3 linked regions of the Sus scrofa genome follow. The protein of the gene in region 3 interacts with the protein of the main gene of each other region in a biochemical or structural test. Links are inferred from orthologs where the notes say so. Each region holds a gene or a part of one and is shown on either strand. Other genes may lie near its edges.

The links.
Region 1: the proteins of TEK (region 3) and ANGPT2 form a complex in vitro, tested with the Homo sapiens proteins (7 studies listed by BioGRID and IntAct, with this or other methods). The link is inferred for Sus scrofa from reciprocal best matches to the Homo sapiens genes TEK and ANGPT2.
Region 2: the proteins of TEK (region 3) and ANGPT4 form a complex in vitro, tested with the Homo sapiens proteins (2 studies listed by BioGRID and IntAct). The link is inferred for Sus scrofa from reciprocal best matches to the Homo sapiens genes TEK and ANGPT4.

Annotation. Positions count from the first base shown.
Region 1 is NC_010457.5:37,552,426-37,555,925, reverse strand, and holds part of ANGPT2 (angiopoietin-2), read left to right. Parts: intron 1-2,614; coding exon 2,615-2,716; intron 2,717-3,279; coding exon 3,280-3,446; intron 3,447-3,500. UniProt on the Homo sapiens protein: Binds to TEK/TIE2, competing for the ANGPT1 binding site, and modulating ANGPT1 signaling. Can induce tyrosine phosphorylation of TEK/TIE2 in the absence of ANGPT1.
Region 2 is NC_010459.5:34,377,614-34,388,282, reverse strand, and holds part of ANGPT4 (angiopoietin-4), read right to left. Parts: intron 7,525-10,669; coding exon 7,409-7,524; intron 4,469-7,408; coding exon 4,367-4,468; intron 3,072-4,366; coding exon 2,905-3,071; intron 1-2,904. UniProt on the Homo sapiens protein: Binds to TEK/TIE2, modulating ANGPT1 signaling. Can induce tyrosine phosphorylation of TEK/TIE2. Promotes endothelial cell survival, migration and angiogenesis.
Region 3 is NC_010443.5:195,957,262-195,967,930, forward strand, and holds part of TEK (angiopoietin-1 receptor), read right to left. Parts: intron 10,361-10,669; coding exon 10,199-10,360; intron 8,404-10,198; coding exon 8,269-8,403; intron 4,475-8,268; coding exon 4,187-4,474; intron 2,789-4,186; coding exon 2,489-2,788; intron 518-2,488; coding exon 363-517; intron 1-362. UniProt on the Homo sapiens protein: Tyrosine-protein kinase that acts as a cell-surface receptor for ANGPT1, ANGPT2 and ANGPT4 and regulates angiogenesis, endothelial cell survival, proliferation, migration, adhesion and cell spreading, reorganization of the actin cytoskeleton, but also maintenance of vascular quiescence.

The sequences.
Region 1 (3,500 bases), on a different chromosome or scaffold from region 3:
AGAGGATTTGAGGAGACTACGATGGGGTTCCATCCACACAGACCCAGGGGGTGTAACCGTTTTCTGACTCTGTGCAGCATCCCTGCCCCCTTCCACTATAGCAACCCAGAGGCCCTGCTGTAGGGAGAGGAAAATATGCAGCTCTGGGACAACGCAAGTCCAGGCCATGGCTGGAAACATTATGATTTATGTGCCTTTTACACACACGCAGTAAAAACAACTCATTTACACAGCAGGGAACAACAATTTTTGAAACCTCAGTTTTTTCACCCCTAAAATATATGGTCCGGATTAAGTTACCTCTGGAGTCCCTTCCAGACTTCAGCCTCTGTAATTCATAACCTGAGCGAGTCAGATAGATGTGGATTTAAATTCCAACCCTGTCAATGTGTGCCTCTTAGCAAGTTGTTTACCCTGGGTGAGGCCTCAGCTTCCTAATGGGTGACGTGACGTGACACTCCTAGTTTTTAAGAGGGAACTACAGAGATGCAGCAGCCAGCACAGGGCATGGGGCTTACTCTCCATCAATGGCTGGGAGCTGTGACCATTCTGAGCTGCCCCTAAAGGCTGCGAGAAAAGCTCTCAGCACCCAGGCCTGCCCTGTTCCATCCAATTCCAGAAGAGAATGTTTACTAGATCAATCTTGGGGCAGATCTCTTCCAGAGAGGCCCAAATATTTCTACTTCTTTTCTGAAGAATTCCTCAGGTTTTTGTACAAGATAGTGCAAGATATCAGAAACTTCAGGGTGTGGTTTTGCTAGTTAGAGACATTATTGTTTCCTTCCCTAAACTGCAAAGGACACCTGACTCCTAATGTTTATCTGTTTGCTGTTTAATCACTCACTCACCAGGGTCTTAGAGCTGAAGCATAACATTTAAATCAAGCATTATCTGCTGAAAGACATCAAGCTCTAGAGCAAAATATGAGGTCCCTGAGCCAAGCCAGGGTGTGCTACTCAAAAACCCTAACTGCCCTCAGGGTTGCATTACTGGAGCACTGAGGTCTTGAGCATTATCTGAGGATTTATGCTCTTCCCACCCTGCTGTAATCTACTTCATTTTCATCAGTGCCTTGTGGCTACATGGATAACTCCATCCCAACACCATCTTTATCTATCTAACCATAATACTTCAGTTTTTATAAACGCTCTGCTCTTTTCCCACAATCTAGGCAAAGAAATTTTAAGAATCTGTTCTCCTGATCCTATCATTGCCTCTCAAAGGCTAGAGAACATTATGGCTGGACAATTCAAGCCTTAGTAGTTCATGCTGGGATCACTTTTAGCTCTGATTCTCTAGGATTTTAGCTCACAAATGCAGTATTGTCACATTTAAGACCACTTGGCCAACATGATCTCCATTATTCCCCCCAAAGACCAGGGAAGACAATAAAACAAGAATATTCCTAATTTGTTTTGAATCATATTTACTACCTTGTAGGCTATAGGGAAATTTATCTTAACTTTCTGGAAAACTTCTTCGATCTATTATAATCTCATTATTTAAAACTATTTGCATAATCTTATTTTTCAGGGGTTTTTAATTTCATAATAAAACTCCAGCTGAGTTGAAATTGAGCATGCATACTCTTAACCCAAGAAATAATTCCGTGTCCTGAAGAAGTTTAAACCCATCACGCCAGTTTAAAAGCAGAACTCAAAAGAGCTGAAAGGGAAATACCATGGGCAGTGAGCAAAGTGCAGAGAAGCCTGAAGGCAGGGCCTGTGGGCTGGGGCTACCAGGATGCCCTCAGGTCCCACATGTCACTCTGGGTACAGGAGAGCCTTCTGCCTCTTTTTTTTTCTTTTTCTTTTCTTTTTAGGGTCACACCCATGGCATACATATGGAGGTTCCCAGGCTAGGGGTCCAATCAGAGCTGCAGCTGCCGGCCTATACCACAGCCACAGCAATGCAGGATCCGAGCTTTGTCTGTGCCAACACCACAGCTCACAGCAACGCCAGATCCTTAACCCACCGAGCAAGGCCAGGGGTTGAACCTGCAACCTCATGGTTTCTAGCTGGATTCATTTCTGCTGTGCCACGACGGGAACTCCTAGGAGAGCCTTCTGCCTCTTGTTCTGAGGGATGAACCAGGCCACCCAACTCTGACCACACACGGAGGAAGCCTAACAGCCCCACAGCTTTGCAGGGTTTTGGAAACCCCACAATGCAAGTCTCCCTTTTACCCAACTCTCTGCAGAGGTGAAAAGGACTGGTTACCAACACAAAGGTTTTCATGGCTGAGAGCATGAGTCCATGGATTTCCACAGGGTAGAGATAAGAGGTTTGGGGCCAGCCTGCCAACATGTCCCCTTCACAACAAATCTCTAAGGAACAGTGATCTCTGGGTCAGCTGTCGGCAGGGGCGACAGATGATGATAAGGTCCTATTTTCATCAACACATCCTGTTACATGACTGTTTGTTTTGCATCCTCAATTTAAATTCATGGTTTTCAATTTCTTAAAAATCCTCTGCTGCTTGGAAGATTTACCCCAGAGAACCCCATCAGCCCTGGTCTTACTAAAAGTATCTCTGTCCATCTTGCTTCTGTTATTTAAGACAAGATCCAAGTCATGGAGCTCACCAGGCAGTAACCATGCATTCCTGTTGTAGGCTTACTGCGACATGGAAACGGGTGGAGGTGGATGGACAGTTATTCAGCGACGTGAAGATGGAAGTGTTGATTTTCAGAGGACTTGGAAAGAATATAAAATGGTATGAATATTCTTTAAACCATCTGAAAATAATTTCCTTTGTGAAAACTAACTTTGAGAATGTGCACAATCTTTGCCACAAATCCACAACTAACCAGTGACTTTCGACCATTTTTTTTTTTATTTTAACCGAAAGGTTCTTGGTGTTTCAGTCTCCCTGTTAAAGAAAAGTCCTGTAAATGCAATGTAAACTATATATCAAAACAAAGGCATGCAAATGAGAGGCTTATTTTTAACGGCAGGCTTAGCATTTTGGGGGTAAACTGCTTGTTTCATAGTGTTTCACACATCTAGAAACAGAGCTGTCTATGCTTATGTTTCCACTGGTGGGTGGTGCCCTGAGCTGCTCTAATTACCCTAGTTTTCTTCTAGTAACAACTTAGTTCCTTAAAACTGACCTTTAGAACATCTTTCTTATATGGAAGACCCCAAATATTCACAGTACAGGAAGGAATTCCTGCTGAATATCTGATGTTGTTCCGTGCTAAATTGATGGACTACTGCTTTCAAATATGTGAAGAGAAAAGTAAGTAAAGTCAGTGACTTTCCCAAATCGGATTCCAGGGCTTTGGGAGTCCCTCAGGCGAACACTGGCTGGGAAATGAGTTTGTGTCACAAGTGACCAATCAGAAACGCTACGTGCTTAAGATACACCTGAGAGACTGGGAAGGCAACGAGGCTTACTCACTGTATGAACACTTCTATCTCTCCAGTGAAGAATTCAATTACAGGTAAGGAAATTATACATTATTTAGAAAAGGTAAGGGAGGTGCTGGTGATCGTTC
Region 2 (10,669 bases), on a different chromosome or scaffold from region 3:
TCAGCACAGGGCACGTGTGCAATATACCATTAGTATTATTTAGGGCTCCACGGAGGGTCAGATAGATGTGGGCCCTCTTGAACCCTGAGCATAACAGTCTGGAACCTTGGGCAGGGAGCTCTCCATGGCTCAGATAAAAAGCCAGAGGCAGGGCATCAAATTCACATAGGAGAGTTCCAAATATAATATACATGTATGTACTTGTTTATGGATGGATATAAATAATTGAGATATATGTAGATGCAGAAATATCATATTCCTGTCTTTGAATTATATTGTTTGTATATATCCACCATTGGTTTTTTATTTTTTATTTTTGTCTTTTCAGGGCCACACCTGTGGCATATGGAAGTTCCCAGGCTAGGGAGTGAATTGGAACTGCAGCTGCTGGCCTACACCACAGCCACAGCAATGCAGGATCTGAGCCATGTCTGCAACCCACACTGCAGTTCACAGCAACGCTGGATCCCCAACCCACTGAGCGAGGCCAGGATACTAGTCAGGTTTTTTACTGCTGAGTCACAATGGGAACTACTCCCCACCCCCTGCCTTTTTTTTTTTTTTGAGCCACCATTTATTTAACACTTATGCTAGGCGTTTTTCCACAGATTATTTCAATTATGACATATAAACTATATTTTACAGATAAGGACCGAAGCACAGAGAGATTAGTAACTTGTCTAAGGTCATGAAGCCAAAAAAGCAGTAGAGTCAGGGTTTGTATATAGAGCCTGGCTCCAGGGCCATGTTCTTTTTCTTTTTTTTTTTCTTTTTATAGCCACACCTGAGGCATATGGAAGTTCCCAGGCTAGGGGTTGAATCAGAGCTGTAGCTGCTGGCCTATACCACAGCCACAGTAACACCAGATCGGAGCTGTATCTGCAAACTATGCTACAGCTCGAGACAACACCGGATCTTTAACCCACTGAGCGATGCCAAGGATGGAACCCGCATCCTAATGGACACTATGTCAGGTTCTTAACCCTTTGAGCCACAGTGGGAACTCCAGGGCTGTGCTCTGTAGTGCAATGAGATACTTTTCTTGATGTTTCTTCCCCAAGAAAAATAGCGGATTCTGGACCTAGGCCACAGAAGCTGATGCCCAGGATCTGGGTCATGGAGATGAAGCTGTTACGTGTGTAGGGAGGACCAGGGAGGCTCCCCCAGCTTCCTGTTATGCTCTTACCATGTCCCAGGCACTGGGGATGGGAACAGCAGTGAACTTGCACGGAGCAGGCCAGCCAAGTGTGGGAAGGGCTGGCTCAGGGACAGTAATTACAATATTATTTACTGAATATTTATTAAGTACCAGCGTTGACGCTCTACATGTAGTATCGTTAGAGCTTCATAACACTTTGAATGAGGGAGGTATACCCAGGGCACCGATTTTGCGGATAAGAAGGTGAAGGGACTTGCTCAAAGCCACTCAGGGAGATGGGGATAAAGCCAGGAGTTAACCTTGGCTTCGCAGGACAGTGGCTTAAATAGGAATCAGCAGGGTGTTGTGGGTTCTCAGCCGGAGGAGCTGGGGGCATCCAGCTCAGCCCTGCCTAGCCCAGGCCAGGGGATGCTTCATTCAGCTCTGGACCCTGCACTTGGAGGAGGGACATTATCCGATTGGGTTCGGTTCTATAGGAGGGATGTAAGAACCAGCTCCCTGGGGCATTTCATAGAAGGGAGGGGTTAGGGGCACAGCACTGAGAAGCCCTCAGAGGTGGAATCAGGCTTGTAGTGCAAGGGGGCAGAGAGTCATCAGAGATGATTTGGGAGGACGTGACCTCCCCATTAGTGGAGGCATTCCAGCCGTGGCTGGGTGATGATTATGGCTGTGGAAGGGAGTCTAGCATCATATGAAGAACCAGATGACGTGTGGTATCTTTGTGGCCCTGGAGCTTGCATCTACTCAGTTCTGGCCTGATTCCAGGATAGCTTATGTTCAAGATCCTTGAGTTTCAAAACCAGGGCCTGCCTAACCTGTAACTTTAGGCAGGGGACAAAAGCTCTGTGTCTTGGTTTCTTTGTCTTTTTCTTTTTTTTCCTTTTTAGGGCTGCACTAGTGGCATATGGAAGTTCCCAGGCTAGGGACTGAATTGGAGCTATAGCTGCCAGCCTATGCCACGGCCACAGCAACATGGGATCTGAGCTGCGTCTGCAACTTATACCACAGCTCATGGCAATGCCAGATCCCCCACCTACTGAGAGAGGCCGGGGATCAAACCCACATCCTCATGGATACTATTGGATTCATTTCCGCTGCACCACAAGGGGAACTCCTTGTGTCTCAGTTTCCACATCGCTAAAACAATGCTTACCTAAGAAGGCGGTGGGGAGGATTAAATGGAATTGTGTGCCTGGAACATAGTAGGTGCTCAATAAAATGCTCATTCCTTTTCCTGAATGGAGCCAAGAACCAGGCTGAGGGAGGGGTGGGAGACCTTGATTCTAAAATATGCTTTAAGCCCATCCTGTAGTTAAAAAGCAGAGGTCCAGAGAAGGCTACTTGACTCGCCCAAGTTCCCAAAGTGAACTTGAGCAGAGCCAGAACGAACCCAACCCCCCGATTCCTAGCCTCGAGACTGTTCCGCCTCATGCCACCGCACAGGACAGGCTGGGAAGATCACCACCCTGCTTCTGGGCCTCTGTTAAATGACCGACTTGGGGTGACTGACCTTGGAAGGCCCTTTCCTGCTCTTAGGAGGGCAGCATCAGGGACATTCTCTCCACCCCACCAGTGGCCGGGATGTGCTGAGTGCTAACCAGCCGCCTCCAGATCCCATGACGTGCGCCCAAATGGGGGACAGATGGCGGGATCAGGAGACGCCCAGGGACTGACCCCTGGTGCAGATGCTGTAGCCACTAGCCCAGGGCCTCCAGCCCACCCACCAGCCTGGGCCCCAAGCCCACCTGTACAGCTGCCCCTCGCTGCCCAGCTGGAAATGCTCATACTGGGCATAGGCTTCATTGCCTTCCCAATCTTGGAGCTCCACACGCAGAGAATAGGCTGCCCTGCTGGTGAGCTGGTGCACCACCTCGTTGCCCAGCCAATGCTCCCCGGCTGGGTTGCCGAAGCCCTAGGGAAGGGGAGAAGAGGGGTGGGCTGCATGCCAAGGATGCGGGTTATGCCTCTGGTTACGCCCATTGTGAGAATGGGCTGGGCCAGGCTCTGGGGACACTTACCCGAAACCACTTTGCTTAATGACCGAGTTGATAAAGTATAGTCCAGGCAGGCCTGGGGATGGGAGCTCCCTACCTCCTAGAGCAAAAAGACTAAGACCTTTGTAAATGTAAAAACTTGTTAAAATGTAAAAATAACTGAAAGTACATTTCTATGAAGTTCAAGAGCAGGCAAAAACCTGTGGTGATAGACATGAGAATAGCAACTGCTTTGGGGGGAGTACAGACCTGGAGGGGACATGAGGAGGGCTTCTGGGGTGCAGGAAGTGCTGTATACCTAGCTTTGAATGATGGTCAGGTGGGTGAATGCATATGTGGAAATTCACTGAATCTTACACTTAAGATTTGTGCACTTAGCCGAGTGCATATTAAATCTCAATTAAAAAATAAAAACTCAAATTGGCTGCATAAATGGTAGAGCAAACTTTGATCAGTGACATGGCAGCCACTGCAAAGTTTCAGTGACATAGAAGTGGAAAGCTAGGAGCGTTGGGTTTCTTGCCATCAGTGTCCCAGAGTGGCAAGAAACCAATGCCCCTGGCCGGAACAATGATTCAGCACCAAGGACAAGGCACGCCAAAGCCCCACTCCCCATTTTGGTCATGCTGCACTACCTATCAGTCCAATGGTTACTATTCAGCACTCTTTGGTGTATTTCTGTCTCTGAGCACCCTATTTCTTGTTGTCATTTTAATGATTCTTTAAATCAATTGAGATTAAAGAATCTTGGGTTTAAGAACACATAGCTTCCTTTGGTATTTATTTTTTAATATTTATCAAATGAACAGCAAGCAGACACACAAAAATAGTATTGTCATGTATCTGTGCAAGTATCTTTTTCTATTCCTTTCGTTCTTGAAAACTTTAAGAGCTTTTGAGTCAGCTTGCCAAAAATTCTTTATTCAAAATTTAATTAAAAAAATTGGAAGGCAATCCGACACTATTCCTTGTCTTGTAAAATGCATGGGGTCTTTGAGCCAGCAATTTTGCATAAAAAAAAAAAATCTCTCCTGCAGTGTCTCCTACATTGCTAAGACAAAGACCTTCATTTAAGCAAGGCAGGCAGGGGTCGGCAGCAGAGATGACTTTTTTCTGTTTCCTTTCCTGTAGCCTTTAAAAACCCTTGCCCATAGCCCCCTTCCTGCCCCAGATTTCGGGGCTAAAAAGCTTCTCCCCAGGGCAGCAGTGTTACCTGTTTGTAATCCTTCCAGTTGCGTTGGAAATTCACGCTGCCATTCTCGCGGCGCTGGATGAGGGTCCACCCACCTCCGTTGGCCTCCAGGTCACAGAACACCTGGAGGGAAATGGGGAGGGGAAGCTGGAAGCCCTAGGAGGTAGCCAGATGCCAGGTCTGGTCCAGCCTGAGGGTGACTTGATTGACAGAACCTCACAGAGCGGCGGGCCAGCCAGGCTGTCAAGAGCATCAGAAAGAACCAGGTCCAAACTCCCTATTCTTGTCTTCATTTCTCTAAAGTGCTGGGCAAGTGATGGCGTCTTGGAGCCTTCCTTTCCTCATTTTTTTTTTTTTTTTGGTCTTTTTTGTTTTTAAATTTTAGGGCCGCACCTGTGGCATATGGAGGTTCTCAGGCTAGAGGTCGAATCGGAGCTGTAGCTGCCGGCCTACACCGCAGCCACAGCACCGCCAGATCCTAGCCGCGTCTGTGACCTACACCAGAGCTCATGGCAATGCCGGATCCTTAAACCTGCTGAGTGAGACCAGGGATCGAACCCGTGTCCTCATGGTTCCTAGTCAGATTCGTTTCTGCTGAGCCGTGACGGGAACTCCCCTTCTCTCATTTTCAAATTGAGGATATTAATACCTTAACCTCTTTGTGCCTCAGTTTCTCATCTGAAAACTGGGATCGTTGTGAGAATTAAATGAGTCACCCACTAAAGAACAGAGCCTGGCACATACTAGGAACCAAGCAAATGGAAACTTTTCATTCACTGTTACTGCAAGGTTGCTGTGAGACATAAATGCCAAGGTGTATAAAGCGCTTGGCACACAGTGGAGTTTAGGAAATGTTATTACCTTCAGTGGACAAATGTTTTCTGAGCACTTACTACACGCCAGGCTCCATTCAAGGCACAGGAGATGCCAACATGGATGCTACAAAGAGTTCTATCTCTCAAAGAGCTTCCCATCCATCACAATCACATCTTTCAGTTTAACTTTTGCTCACATACGATTTTTCCATCACAGTGTTCTGGGAGGGCACACTTGGTACCTGGCCCTGTACTAGATGAATCAGAGACAAATCAGAGATAAATGAACCCCCAGAGCTGGCTTGGTCTGGAGTAAGCTAGCAGACTGACAGGGCTAGGTCTGATAGGGCTGGAAGACTACTGAATATGAATATTTGGGCAGCAATAAGGAGAGTTCCCCCAAAGAGTCATGGGGCAACCCCAGAAGTCTTCTCGGGGGAGGTGGCACTGGAACAAGGCCTTGGATGATGTACCTGCCAGATAGAGATGAACGGAAATGGCATTTCCAGTGGAGGGAGCAGCAGGCGTAGGGACTCTGAAAGGATAAAGGCCTACTCAGGGAGAGAAGACAGTGACATCTCTTGTGAGGGTAGCAGAGGTGGCAGGAAGGGAAACTGAGGCCCAGAGAGGGGAAAGGACTTGCTCAAGGCAAATGGGTCAAAATTGAAGCTGAAGTTTGAGCCCTGATCTCTTACTTCCTAGGCCACCTCTTCCCTCTCTATCAGAGTTTCCAAATTTTAGCTATTCACGCCTTCTGAATTTCCACTACAGCTGAATTTACTTAACTTCATATAAAATTCATAAAATGGTGTCTTTTTTTTTTTTTTTTGTCTTTTTGCCTTTTCCAGGGCTGCTCTCGTGGCATATGGAGGTTCTCAGGCTAGGCGTCTAATCAAAGCTACAGCTGCCAGTCTACACCACAGCTACAGCAACGTGGGATCTGTGACCTACACCACAGCTCACGGCAACGCCGGATCTTTAACCCACTGAGCAAGGCCAGGGATTGAACCCGCAACCTCATGGTTCCTAGTTGGATTCGTTAACAACTGAGCCATGACGGGAACGCCAATGGTGTCTTTTTAAAAGCTTAAATACTCAGATCAAATGTGTTTTAAAAGGAAATCTCATCAATACCCTAAAAGGGAAAATTAGTAAACTCACCTTTATTCAGATAATTGTAAAAATACATACAATGAAGACAAAAGAGTGTTGCAATATTCTGGCTAGAAATTGAAGGCCCGATCTCTTTTTATTAAAAGGGGGGTTTAGCAGGTGTATGAGAACTGTTAAAGACACTCTGCGCTGCTCTCCTTGATAGATTCAGTAGGGTCCAAAGAAAACTGACAAGGGAATATAAAGTGGGGAAACTGGCTAGTTGTTCCCCAAACTCTTCTACCTCTGGGCCTGGCCCCCCAATTTCCCATCCTGACATCCACAATTTCCCTTGACCATCCTCCCATATGATAATTGAACCTCAAAGTTCAGGGCAACCTTGGGAGCCACTCATTGAAGGTGGTGGGGCCTCTATCAGCCCCCATCCCCAATTTGCACCCATACCTGCCTTCAACTGGACTGTATGTAAATTAGAAATAAACTTCTTTGTGTTAAGCCCAAAGTTAAGTTCTTTGTGGAACTGAAATTCTTAAAGGTTTGTTGGTTATATCAGCTAGCATTTACCTGAACCGACAGAGAACCGTTTCCTGCTATTCCAACTTAAAGGCATCCCTGAGAGTTCCCGTCATGGCTCAGTGGTTAAGGAACTGGACTAGCATCCATGAGGACGCGGGTTCGATCCCTGGCCTTACTCAGTGGGTTAAGGATCTGGCATTGCCGTGAGTTGTGGTGTGGGTTGCAGATGTGGCTCAGAACCCGCGCTGCTGTGGCTGTGGTGTAGGCCAGAGGCTATAGCTCTGATTCGACCCCTAGCCTGGGAACCTCCATATGCCGCTGGTATGGCCCTAAAAGACAAAAAGACTAAAAATAAATAAATAAATAAATAAAATAAGGCATCCTTGGAAAAGATGCTGGAGAAGGATGTGTCACCAGCTTTGGGACCTTCTGCTTTAACTGCATGATCTGACACCTGAATGGGTTGGGGCTCCAGAAGGTAGGGTCACACCCACCTTCTCCAGAATCTCAGATGTTGGACAAGGCCTGAAGCTGAAGTGGGGGTAGGGTTGGAGGGTTGTCTGAGCAGCCTTTGGCTCGGCACCCTCTTATGGCCTTGGCCCCCAGGGAGCCCCCTGACCTTTCTGGGCTCTGTCACGTTGGCCACATGGATGGTGTAGATGCCGCTGGCATTGGCCCCGAAGCGCTGGATCTCTGCACAGTCTTGGAACACCTGCTCAGCTGCCCTCATGGAGGCTGCAGTGGGACAAGGTAAAAACAACTGGAAGTGAGCTAAGGCGAGTGGGAAGGCATCAGGGGTCACTCCAGCCTGCTCTGTGTCAGGTTTTGGGCTGGGAGGTGCTGGGGACAGGGAGATGTATTGGACCTGGAAGGTTTCCTAGAGGAGCTGACGGTGAGCTGGGACCTGGACAAGGAGCAGGAGGCGCCCGCACGAGAAGGGGCGAGGGTCCCAGGCACAGGGAACAGCATATGCTCAGGCTCCACGGTGGGAACAGTCCTGGCGGGTGCAGGGAACGTGGCGAGGGGAGCTGACGGAGGCCATGGACGGGAGATGACTCACACCCTGATGGCAGAGCGGAGGCCAGAGGGCGCTCCGGCCGTTTGATGGACCTGAGAGGAATGGGGTGAGGCTGGCACAGAGGAGGTCAAGGAAGAGAGATGAGCTGAGAGTTTGGCCTTGAATGCCAGGCTGAGGAGTCCAGTCTGTGCTGAGGAAGAGCGCTCTGGCCAAAGTGTAGAACAGCCACCAAAGTGGATGAGACTCAGAGCAAGGAAGCCAGAGATAAACTTCTGGAATCTTCTAGGACAGGTAACTGGGGCTTGAGCTCTACTGAGGTCCATTTGACAGGCCAGGAAGCTGAGGCCCAAGAGTGCTCAAGGGCACAGAGCTGGTGGGGCAGGAGGAGGTGGGCAGGGCTTTCCCTCTCCCCAGGTCTTATGGGCCAGAGTGCCCTCCACAGCCTACTCCTTCAGCCAGAGAGCCTTGCAGCCCTGAAGGTGGGCCCCCTCACTAGGCCCGCCCTGGGAGCTGACTGACTGCTGGCCTCAAGTGCCGAAGCATCTTACCTCAGGAGAATATTAATTTAATGGCTGAATCCCACCAGGGCCCCAAGGGCCTCCAGGCCCAGCCTGAAAAAAGACTCTTGGTAAATAAACAATAGAAGTTTCCCATCCCTTCTCTGGCTCTTTTCATGGGATCCAGTGAGAGCTTGGGCTATGATTCCACCAGAATCCTATCTCTGGGTAGGTGGGTATCCGAGGATAGGGTTGGAGTTCCAGATGGATACATATCTGCATCAGCGGAGAACCAGGAAGCTACCAAGGGGTCTTTTGGCCTCATACTTGAACTTGGATTCTGAGTCCTGGAGCTGGGGCCCTGTTAAAAGGAGACTGCTGTTCCCAGACGACAAATGAAGGGACCAAGGCCCCAATCCACCCGAGTCTGTGCACCAACTTTCCCTGGGCAGGGTCTCCACAGCCTTACCTGTCAGCCACCCTGGGCCCTGGGGAACAGGAGTCCAGCTAAGCCTGGTAGGGTGCTGGCCTGGAGGTGGGCTGGGACAGGCCTAGGGCAGAGCTAGGAGCTGGCCTCAGAGTTCCAGGCACTCTTGCCTAGGTCCTGTCCACTACAGTTGTCCTTAGTCAATGACAATAGTCTCACCAACAGTAATGACAACAAAAGTGACATACCCACCATGGATTGTAGTGTTTCTTGGCCAGTGACGGCCATGGGCAGTTTGGAGCCAGGAAAAATATTTCAGGGAGCATAAGAGCAAGGATGGACCAGTATGGACATGCAACATAGTCTGGCCCCAGCCTGGAGCCCTGAATCTTTGAACCAGCTTCACCTCCTTTTGGCCCTAGGCCCTGTGCTCAGCCCCTTTGCGTGCTTGAACTCATTTGATCCTGTGCAAGAACTCTGTGAGACAGGTGCCATTATTAGGCCCATATTATAGGGAAGGAAAATTGAGACTCTAAGACGTTAAATGCGTGCAAAGCGCGGGTGCTAGTCAGCGAGGGAGCCAGAGCTCGAACCCTGCTCCATCTGACTGGAGAGCCAGTGCCTTTCCTATGACCCGCCTCCCCTTGGGTCACCGCCACGGAGTGGCTGTAAGGCTGGACAAAGAGACCTCGTCACTCCATGCTGCTTCGGACACTGTGCATTGGAGAGGTCTTTTCTACCTGGGTCCCCACCCTTCTAACATTTAGAAGGCCCCGAGTTCTCCACCCCTTGTCCGCCTCCGCCTGCCTAGGACAAAGCCATGCAGAGAGGGGTGCAGGCTTCCCGCTGGCCTTCATGGATGCCCGTTTTCTGTGCCCGTCTCTGTTCAATTTTTTTTTTTTTCTTTTTAGGGCCACACCCACAGCATATGGACGTTCCTAGGCTAGGGGTCAAATCAGAGCCACAGCCACAGCATCTTGGGATCCGAGCTGCATCTGCGACCTACACTACAGCTCATGGCAACACCAGATCCTTGACCCACTGAATGAAGTAGGATTTGAACCTGCATCCCTGTGGATACTAGCTGGATTAGTTTCCACTGCTCCACAACGGGAACTCCTCTGATCTTCTGTTCTACACCTGCCGACTAATTCTCTTCCAGTTTTTCCATCTAGACAGGAGGGAGAAATGACTCCTAGGGCCTCTTCCCTGGACACAGTGGGACAGGAGGACAGATGTTTGGGCAAAGGGTGCCTGAGGTGCCCATCACCACCTCCCTGGTGAGCCTGGGGAGCACACACCGGGTCACAGCTGGTGGTTGGGTCAGCGGTGAACCTGTGGGGAAGGGGTCAGGCCCAGGCCGCGTGACACGGGATTAATTTAGGCAGCCGCACTGCTGAGGCTCTGCACAAGCCAGGGATGGGTTCCCGTCACTCCTAATCTCCTGGTTTGGAAGGCGCCCACCCCCTTTGCCTGTGGCTACCTCAGGCCTGAGACCCCTCCCTGGTGGGGCCTACCCGACTTAGGTGGAGCCATGGTGCCACCTTTTGTCCCCAAATCTCTGCCAGACATAGAGCCTGGAACCCATCGCTGTTGTTTGATTCCTTGAGCCTTAAAGGATTTCCAGTCTCCCCCTTCTGGTGACCTAGTCGCAGAAGGAAACCTTTCTTTGTCTTTCTCCTCAAGCCATTTTCCCCTCCCGGGTTCCTCAAACTTGGTCCCCCTCTGTTCAAAACCCTGCGGTGGCTCTTCACTGCCCTCAGCTTAAAGTTTCCTATCCTGCGGCCAGGCTTTTAGGCTTTCCATGGTCTGGAAACTTCAGGAATACTGTTAGCAGGGCATCTGGCACATAGTAGGTGCTCAGCGAGTAAGCATTCCTTCCTCCTTTCCTTGGAGACCCACTGTTGGGTGTTGGGTGGAGACAGAGGCCACAGTTCC
Region 3 (10,669 bases):
TGCAACTTACACCACAGCTAATGGCAATGCCAGATCCTTAAGTGAGCGAGGTCAGGGATCGAACCTGCATCCTCATGGATCCTAGTCAGGTTCGTTAACTGCTGGGCCATGACAGGAACTCCTCCTGCATAATTGTTAAGAGTAACTTCTTCACTCTCAGAATTGTTCCAATTTGGACAAGAAATTGTATTATAGTCATGCTAGTTGTCTCCCACTTCATAATGAAAGACAAAGAAAAGATGAAACTTGCCTAAGCGAAGTATCTGCTTTACAAGTAAATTTTCTGGCCCACATCTTTAAAATGAAGATACAGCAAATATGCGGACTTGCATTTAGTAGCTACTAGGAAGATGAGACACTACCACATTTTGGAAGGCTTGGGCCATTCTCCTTTGGACATTTGCCCTCTTCAACTGCAACATGATCAGAAAGGCCAAGAGCACTGTCAGGCAGGTCATTCCCGCTGAGCCAAGGATGGCTATAAGTAGCATCTTCCCACCTCCAAGGTCTGCTGGTGCTGTGCAGGAGAACATGGGAGAAGCAGAAGGTTAGTCTAGGTAGAGAGACAGGCCAAGACTATCTGCAGGAGAAGTCACAGTGTAATGGCAATGTAATGGCAGCCTGAGCCCTGCCACCTAACGGCTAGGTGACTGTGGGCTACTCATTCATTTTTAGGAAGTCAGTGAAGATGAGTCAGATTCATAGGGCTGTTATAAGTTCAAGGAAATGTGCAAAGGGGCTTTTCAAATGGCAACATGCTAATCATTTGTTGTTCCTTGTTCAACTTTCACTTCCAAGTAGAGGCCCAAGCAGAAGAATATTACCAAATAACAGTGAGAATGACTAACTACATCTATGATTTTGGGAAAGTGACTAAACCTTCCTGAACAATTTCTCTACCTAGAAAAGCTTTAAAGTTTATGCTACTAAAAGCATAGAGTCTGTAGGATATTTTGTTTTGCTTTTTTCCTGTTTTAAAGAGCTGATGGATAAAAACTGAGAATCTCATTGGGAGAAGGAAGGAAAGAAGAGAAAGAATAGAAAAATCATTAAATTTAGGACTCAGTTAAATCAACTATTAAAGACAGTGGTATAATCCTTCCACTTCTTTCCCCTTTTTAAATTCAAATAAAATTAAATTCAATTATTTTTATGAAAAACAGCATGTACAGCAATGATCCCAGACATGGGATCAATAAAGAGATGTCTGAAATAGAATGGTGAGGGTTTTTTAGTTTTGTTACGTCTTATTTTTTAATTTTTCTCTTTGTATTTTATTAAGAGCTTGTATTTAGGACTTGTATAAGTTTACCAAAACATAAGTAACTATAGAAATGATGCATTTATTAAGAATGTCATCTGAAACCTATGATTCTCTATAATTGACAGACATTTCTCAGACATTTCAAAAATGTTCCAAAGAATTAGTATTGAAAACAGAGTTAATTCGATTTTAATTTGTAAGCCCTACATATCCTTCAAGAGGACCAAGGAATTTTTAGTGCTATAAGATTTCCTGTAAAAATGCCCTGGTCTGAATTAAAAATTTGCAAAAATCACTGTTTCCCTCTAATGTTTCTCTGTCTCCATTCCCCTGTATAAGCTGTACAGTGCAGAGGGCCAAGCGGTACAATTTCAGACAGATCTCGAAGGATAGGAGCTATCCCAGCATCCTTGTTCTCTAATTATATTCAACAGGTTTTATCAAGCCCAACTGCTAGAGGAGTCTAAGAGGTACAGCCCTCCAGTTATGAAATAAATAAACCCCTGGGACATAATATACAACATAAGGAATATGGTCAATAATATTGTAATAACTTTGTGTGGAGAAAGATGATTACTAGTAGTAATCATTTCATAATATACGCAAATGTCAAATCACTAAGTAGATACCTGAAACTAATAATATTGTACATCAACTATATTTCAGTTTTTAAAAATCACAAACATTTGGCCCAGTGCAAGGTGCTTGGCACTTTGAGGAATCTCCACCTCAAAGAGCTAATTCTCCCTGGGGTGGGGGTTGGTGGTGGATGTGGAGACATCATGACCTGGATCTGAAAAGTAAAAGAAAACTCAGGATATCACAGTGTCATCTAAGCTAAAAAACAAGTTCATATTGAGAAAGAATGGAGCTTGGTTCCTGGCATCTCCCACTAAAGCACCTTGCAGACCTGCCTCCACTAAGCAGGTTCCACATTCTTCTTTCTCCACAGGATCAAATTCAGATCCCTCAGAGCTTCAACTGCTGGATGGGGAGTTCTGATGGGCTAGACTCATCTACAGTTTAATGATAGAAAATGGATCAGCAGAGTATCCCTCCAAGGGATATTTTCATTTCAAGGACATCTCTAGAGATGGTGACATCTATTAGGATAAGCTGATTATGTCACATGATACTAATATGGGATAAATATCTTAAAACAATGAGGCTTTTCTGATAATCTCCAGAAATAATTCTATGTTAACATCTGTCCACTCTACCAACCTTGAGATTCAGAAAGAGTCATCAGTTCAAGAGAAGAGGTTGGATTGCTTGACCCTATGTTGTTCTCTGCAAAGATGTCCACCTGGTAAGCTGTTTCAGGCTCTAGACCCTTGAGCTGATACTGGGTAATGGTGGCATTCTTGATCTTCACATCAATGTGCTGGTCTTCATTTTTGCCCTGTACCTTGTAACGGATGATGACAGAAGAAATGGAATAGCCATCCAAGATTGTCCAAGAGATCACGGCCGAGGAGTCTGTGACATTGGAAATCTTGATGTTTTCTGGTTGAGGAGGGAGAACTAGAAATTGTAAGACAAACAGGCAATATTTTATTTAAGATATATTACCATCGCTCAGGTTATTATGTTTTTTTACCATTTTTTTTTTTTTTTCCCAGGTTAGGAGTCGATCAGAGCTGCAGCTGCCAGCCTACACCACAGCAACAGAAATACCAGATCCAAGCCATGATTTACAATGTTGGGCCAATTCAGGATTTTTTAAAAATGATGAAGTCATCCCTAAACACTTGAGACTTCCACATATTATTGATCAAGAAGAGAGTGGCTGGAGAAACACTAAGCCAGCTGCACACCTGTTCCTGGGGAATTGGAGTCCCAGCTGCCGAGAGAATCTCAGACTTTGGAGACTGACAAGAGAGCAGGATCCCAGCAGATGTGATACTGGTGTGACCCAGAAATACCTAGTTTTTCCAAGGACTCCCAAATGCATAGACATGGTTCTAATGCAGTGAATAAAATAGAGCTCTCAGAGTTCCTGTTGTAGCTCAGCGGTTAAGGAACCCAAGCAGTATACATGAGGATGTGGGTTCGATCCCTGGCCTCACTCAGTGGGTTAAGGATCTGGCCTTACCCTGAGCTGTGGTGTAGGTTGCAGATGCAGCTCAGATCCCATGTTGCTATGGCTGTAGTGTAGGCCAGCAGCTACTGCTCTGATTTGACCCCTAGCCTGGCAACATCCACATGCCACAGATGCAGCTCTAAAAAGACAAAAAAAAACAAAAAAAAAAAAATAGATCTCTCCGGTTCAGGATGAAAAAGCTTTCAATGCTACATAGAAACCCAAGTAGTTCCAACTAACTTTTAATGAACAATATGAAATTTTTTTAAAATGCCTGAACTGAAGAATGTTTTGAAAGAAACATTGTTTTATTAATCTCCAATATAGATTGTTACTCCAAGAATTGTCTGTTTTGAAGATTTTTCAAAGTTCTTTGGCTTTTAAGATTTTTTGAGATAATTAAATAGGCTTTTTAAAAATAATTAGATAGCCGTTTTAAGACCTCTCTAATTAATCATCATCTTTGTGCATATAGATACGTGACAATCCTGAAAACAGTCCTATAACACATTCAACAAGCCCTAGAAAACTTTATTCATGCTATTCATTTATTTAATAAATAACTCTATGGAAACCACTATACTCTAACTTAAAAAAGAAAGGAAAGGTAATTTTTACCCAGTCCTGCATGAATTATAAACCCAAATTCGTGGAACTTCCGTATATATTGTAGGTCACTAAAATGATTTGATGTGTTGGTGGGGGAGGCATTAATGGGCCTCTATTCACAACTGCCTTTTATGATTTCTAAGAAACACTCTTGAAGTGATGAGAGCTAAGTCCAAATGGCAGCAGCCACCTGTCATTCAGGCAAAGCTGGGACAGCAAGAGTTACTCACTGTCACTAAGGGTCCAAGCGACGAGATCTTCACTCCACTCCCCCTGGGCCTTGGTGTTGACTCTGGCTCGGACAATGTACTTTTCCCTAGGGTGTAAATTGTTCAGTAACACTGAAGTCAAGTTGCCTGGCACTTTAATATTCTGCTGATCACTATTCACTTGTACAGACCTCCTCTCAACTTCAACATAAAAGTCATCTTCCGAGCTTGGAAATATTGGTTGCCAGGTCAAATTTAGAGTGGTCTGACTTTTTGGTAGGAGACTGAGACCTCTTGGAGGAGGAAGACCTAGGAGAAACCAGAAAGATCATTATTTTTATGTAGATAACAATCCGAAAGGACAGCTTTATAGAATAACCTTGGCTTCTAGAATAATATACATTTCACAAGCTATCAAAAAAATACGTGCTAGCTGCCATATAATAATTTTTTTCCTACCAAAACAGCAAAGCTTTAAAATATTCTAGTATGTAGTTTGAGTAACTGTAATAGAGGAATACAACCCCTTTGAAAGGTAAGTTGGAAATATTTTTCAAGAGCCCTAGAAATGACTCTATACTTCAGCCATGTAATCTGACTACCAGGGATTTATCCAGAAGAAATAACCTAAAGGAAGAGAAAAAGGGTAAGTGCATGAAGATATCCATTACAACATTATTTATAATAACAAACAATCATAAGAAACCTAAGTGCTCAAAATAAGGAAACACTTTAATAAACTATGATGTAGCCATCCAAGGGATTGGGATAGATAATTGGGAAAAGTACAGAAGCCCCTCCCTCGAAAAATTATAAGACATGAGAAAAAATTCTGAAACTTTGTAAAAATCATGTCTACAATTGGTGAAATAAGAAAGAAACTGATAAAAAATAGAAACACTGGATTCATCACGGTTGTGGGCTTGTAAGTGAATATTTGGTGTTTCTGTTCCCATTTTGTGCAATACATTTTAAAGTAATTTCAGTTACTTCCCCTTAGCAAGAACAATGGCAGATATTATAACACTATGATGGCAGGGTCAGGCCTAGAACTGCTCACATTAAGGTTTGGCTATGACCACATGCTGTCTGGCCATAAGTATCCACAAGAACCTGGGCTACCAGAGAGGTAACTGAATGGAAACAATATAGGTTTTGAAATCAAAGATGCAGGAGCATGCCCCTTTAGTTTTGTGACCTTGGGAAATTTTTATAACCTCTCCAATTTACATGTAACATGAAATGAAAATACTCAACTTCTAGACTCAGAAGGAGAAATGAGATAAGGCAGGTGAAATTGCCTGGAAGGGGTTAGGGACTTTAATGTCTTCCAGGCATTTTCTAGGAAATGCTGAATTTCCTCCCTTCTCCATTCCTTCCTTCCTTCCTACCTTCCTTACTCCTTCCTTCCTAAGCTGTTTTATCTTGTGTCAGTGGACAGTGGAGGAATCTATAAGTTTTCAACTAATAATAGTACATTGGTATTTTAAACTCCAGATATAAAGTATTTTCAAAACATAGACTAAGGACCCTCTACTCATGCATTCTCAGGAGGGATATTATTGCCACTAATGGGGCAAAAACTGGTTCTTGGGGTGTGAGAAAATTTTAGGTAGTATAGTGTTTTTTGAAGAGCTGCAGTATATACACAGATCTTTGATTATTACAATTCATGTCAGAAGATTTCTTCTTAAAGATAAAATATCTAAAAAATCTCTTTGGGGTGATAATTTAAAAATGAAAAGGAACTTGGTTAGAAGTGAGTGGAAGGATCTGTTTCTACCCATCTCACTGGCCAGTTCTGGATGCTCTGAGACCAAGGAGAACCAGAAGTCAGGTCCTGCCACCAGCCTGGAATTATGCTAAATGTCTTACTGGTCTTTTGTCCATAACCTTTGCAAATTGAGAGAGGTGGTATCACTTCCTTTTGCTCTTCTCGAAAGTTTAATTTCCAAAATAGGCCACCTGGAATTGGTAGACAGGCTTACAATGGCACAGCAGAATGGAGAGTTGATGGTTTGGAGCAATTGTGTGAACCTTATAAGCCTGTGCCTGGTACAGAGGAGTAACCCCCCAAATGATAATTTCCCTTCTTCCTTCATTTTGGGAACATGACTTTCCCTTCTCCCTTCCCTACCTGCCCTCTTTCTGCCATGTGTTCAGAGTGTGTTCTCTTCCCTCCTCTCCTGGCCTCCCTGGCCTTTACCACTCAATCAACACACTTATACTGTTGTGCAGCTGCCAAGTGAATTTAAAAACAAACATCAGCAAAATTCAAATGATGGGAAAAGATGAACCTTCAAGAATTCCCTTCCCACCCACCTCTGAGAACTACTTTGAAATACTCCAAGAGACCTCTAAACACATCCTGGTTGGAACATATTCCGAGGGCTGAAGAGAGCACACCGTGGGTCTGTGAAGTGTTTTATGTTCTGTTCCATAAATACTTTCCAGCTGAGTCAGATTATAGCCTTCCCCTTTTGATTCATCAGCACTGATCTAAGAGAGAATTAACTACCATTTGCCTTTTAGCAGCAACTTGGATGATAGTCATGCAGATTCCTTTATCCTCTCATATTCAGTTTCTAGTGTTATTCTTTGTATTTACTACCTGGTGGGTTTCCAGGAAGCCCTTTTTTACTTGTGCAATGCTTCTAGAAGCATCAGAGGAGCTTCTGAGTTTTATTTGGCTCTTTAAAGATGCTACTGGTGAGATGAACACTAGGTGGAGGGTATGGAGGGGAGAGTCTCTGTTAGGGATGCAGAGCTCCTGAGGAAGAGCTTGATACTCTTCCTAGTTTCTCACTAAATCACTCCATTTCCTTCTGCCTTTAGTAAATGGACTAAAAATAGGAAAATTCATCAATTCAGATAAGGATATGGTGGCTTTGAGCTCCCAGGTAAATATAATAAATGGAGAAACAATAATATCAAGTGGGAAGATCTAGTATGGTGATGCACCTGATCCATTAAGTACTTGTGACTCTACTTTTCAATCTATAAAATGGGGATGATGATAATTCTAAGAATTAAATAGACATGAACTTCAAACTATAAAGTTTCAAGGAGACAGTAACAGAATGGTTATATACAGTGAACACCAGAACACCAAAAAGAAATTTACAAGGGATCCAAGTGTTTCAGAGGAGGGGACCCTGGTAGTAGAAAGCTGGAGCCAAGTCAGCGCTAAGGAAATTTCACACATTCAAAGGCTCATTGAGTAACACGGTAGAAGACAAATAGCTATTGATTAACATTGATCCATCAAGAAATATTGCTACATATATTACTTAGAATGTGTTGACCCAGGACCAGCAGCGTCAAGCATATCTTGGGAACTTATTAGAAATGCAGATTCTTGAGCCCCCACCCTTACTATAAATCTACTGAATCTAAAGCTCTGGAGTTGGGGCCAAAAATCCAGTTTTAACAGGTGATGCAGGCAATTCTGATGGACACTAATGTTTGAGAACCACTGATTTAGAAACATGGAAGTATATATTAAACGGCTCAAGGAGGTAAAAGCAGCTGCCTCGAGGAAGCAGATAGGGAGGTGGAGGAATAAAGCAGAGGACATGTATTCTTTAGGTAAAAGCCTTTCATTTCTATTTGATGTTTTCACTATGTGTGTGAATTACTTTGAAAAACTAGAAATTATTTTTTAAAATAAATAAACTGGGATTTCTGAAATACATATGGACAAGAGCCTGGCCTGGGCCATTGAGATGGAAACAGGAAGCTGGTGGTAAGAGTCAGGAGCCAAGCAAGATTGAGAACGGTTTGCTACTAAGTTAATCCCAAATCCTAAGGGATGTCCTGGACTTCCTGAAGGCTCATCTGCTTCCTTCTCTGTCCCTGTGGATTGCTGCAGATCCCCTCCCTCCAGGGAGACAGACAAGGAGTACAGCCCAAATAAAGGACCAGTTTGGCTCCCAGTTGCTAGCTTTCCTGTCACTTTCCCACCCATTCAAAAGCCAACTCCTTCCACCACAATCCCAACCCACCCACTCACCCACCACCACCCTTCCTGGTCTTCCTTCCTCTTTCCCCTTCCTCCCCCACCCACCCAGCTCCTGAATAAATGCCTGTTTGCTTCAACTGACCGATAGAAGCTGTTGTGAACTGCCTTACGGGTCCAGGATGCCCTTCTCCGCCCTCTCCACGCCGGATCAGCTGCACGCAGAGCTCATATTCTGTTCGAGGTTCCAAATAGTTGAGGGTAACAATCTCACTTGTCACTGAGAAGAGAGAAAGTCCAGGAAACTTAAGTTGGCAATATTTTACATTCTTTAAACTGGAATGTTGTTATTGTGATGTGAATGAATGTTTGGTTTTAAAAATACAACGTCTGAGTGAAACAGAGAGACAAATCCATCCTCAGGGACCTCAGTGTTCCTAACATAAGGAAAATAAGGCTTTTCATGTAAGTATCACTGTGGCATTTATACATTTCTACTAGTGTTTTTGTCTTTTCAGTTGTAGAGTAAAACCACACAATCTTCAACTATATAGAATACCCATCAGATTAAGGGGGGAAAATTCAATTAAAATAATAGAATTTAACTTCTACTTTCAAGAAGTACACACAGTGATTGCAATCTCACGAGACGAGACTCCTTTAAAAGTTTGCTTGCAATGACCAGACAAGAAATTTGAAATAGTCATGTCATAACAAATTAAGGGTTCTGAAGTCCTTGAAAATAGATCCCATGCTTCTTTTCTCCTTAGCTATTTGCTTTGCTAGATTCTGTTTTTCCAGAATCTGTTTGTGTGATTATTTAATGTCAGATATTAAAAATATACAGATGCATATTTTTGCCTTACCATAAGATAAATTCCCAGCTGGTAAGAAAAAGTATTGGGCTATGTTTAATAGTTCTTAGAAGACCACTTTTGTGGATGTCCACAAAGAAATAATGTGCACTATATTTTTTTAAATCTGCTTTTAAAAAACACCTAGCCATTGATGTTGGAAACAGCAATCCAGCAATTCAGGCTTAATGTTGCTGAAATTCTGAATTTTAGCTGAGTCTTCAAAAGAAAATGAAGAACTCAGTAATAATACTATGACTTTATTCAATGTACCCAGGTCAGCTAGTGTTATTAAGCCCAATCCCCTCCTTTTCTTCTTTTTTGTAACTTCCTTGATTGTCTGCATCTCGTGTGAAAGGGGTCCTTTATAAGAAATCGCAGGCACAGTGAGACTAAAGTCCTGGTGAAAGGATACCTGTTCCCTACAAGCATGACAGTGTAGATCTCACTACAAGATGGCATAATTAACTCAGGATGGCCAACTGATGGTACTCAGCTTTCTTTTTAAAAACTGTGATTTTTATATCATCATTTAAGAAATAGAACTGTAATTTATGTTTCAAAATAAATTTAACTAACAAATAAATAAATTTAACTATTTTCATGAACTTCTGACATTTTATCACATTTGGGTTTTTTCCTTCCAAAAAGTTAAGGGAGGAGCATGTAACTCTGTTTGCCTATACCTTCTCCTCCCTCTCCCTCAGTTCAGTCTGCCACAGCCCAAACTTTCAGGCCCAAATTCCTCTTACAATCTCTAAGTTAAGAGCTTGAAGGCAGGGCAAGACTCAAATGAGGAAAAGAATAAACAACCTGATACAGTAGCAACAATCACCTCTCAGATGTAAGCAGATTAAGTCTCTGCCTTTCCAGAAGACTTTGGACTTTCCTTCCTTTTGCCATATTCATGACATAAATGTGTATCTTTCACCATGACCAAGCAAGATAGAGTAAGACCATGATTGGAGAGCCAGGGAAGCCTGGAAAGGAAATATTAATGTAGATAGCAACTGCTAACACAGGATGGCTCTGTGTCCATATTATGTCATCCCTTCCAGAAAGGTAGCCCCAGAGCTCAGAGGACCTCCCCACTCTCTCCTGAATACTCTGAAATCCACCACTACAGCCCCTACCTTGGGAGAGAAGATTTCTATATTAGGGGAAAAAATTTTTTTCTTGGTGCCCCACCTGCAGCTGGTGCCATTCCTTTCCAAATCTTACCTTGAATATGCCGCCAAGCCTCATAATGATTAACAGGTTTGTATAGAAGCTTCTTGGATTTGATTGGTCCATCCCCAAAGTAAGGCTCAGAGCTGATGTTGATGACAGCAAAGTTATGTCCAGTGTCAATTACGTTTGGGGCATTCAAGGGCTTTGGAAGAACTAAATAAAAGGTCAAGAATCAGATCAGTCCTTACACTCTGGGATTTTACTTCTCTTCCTAGATGAGGGTAAAGCATGAGTGCCTTTACATTTCCAACAAAGCCCTCTTCAGTTCTCTGCTCAGATTCAATGAAGTTACCTGCTCTGTGCACTCTTGGCTTTGCTATTGCCCTTCCAACCCACCATTCACAAGAAACTCTCATAAAATATGAGCACTCTTCTGTTCACAACATTTTAATGGGTTCCCATTACATTTAGAATAAAATCTAAAATTCATACCATGATTTGCCAAGCCTTGCATGAGAGAGA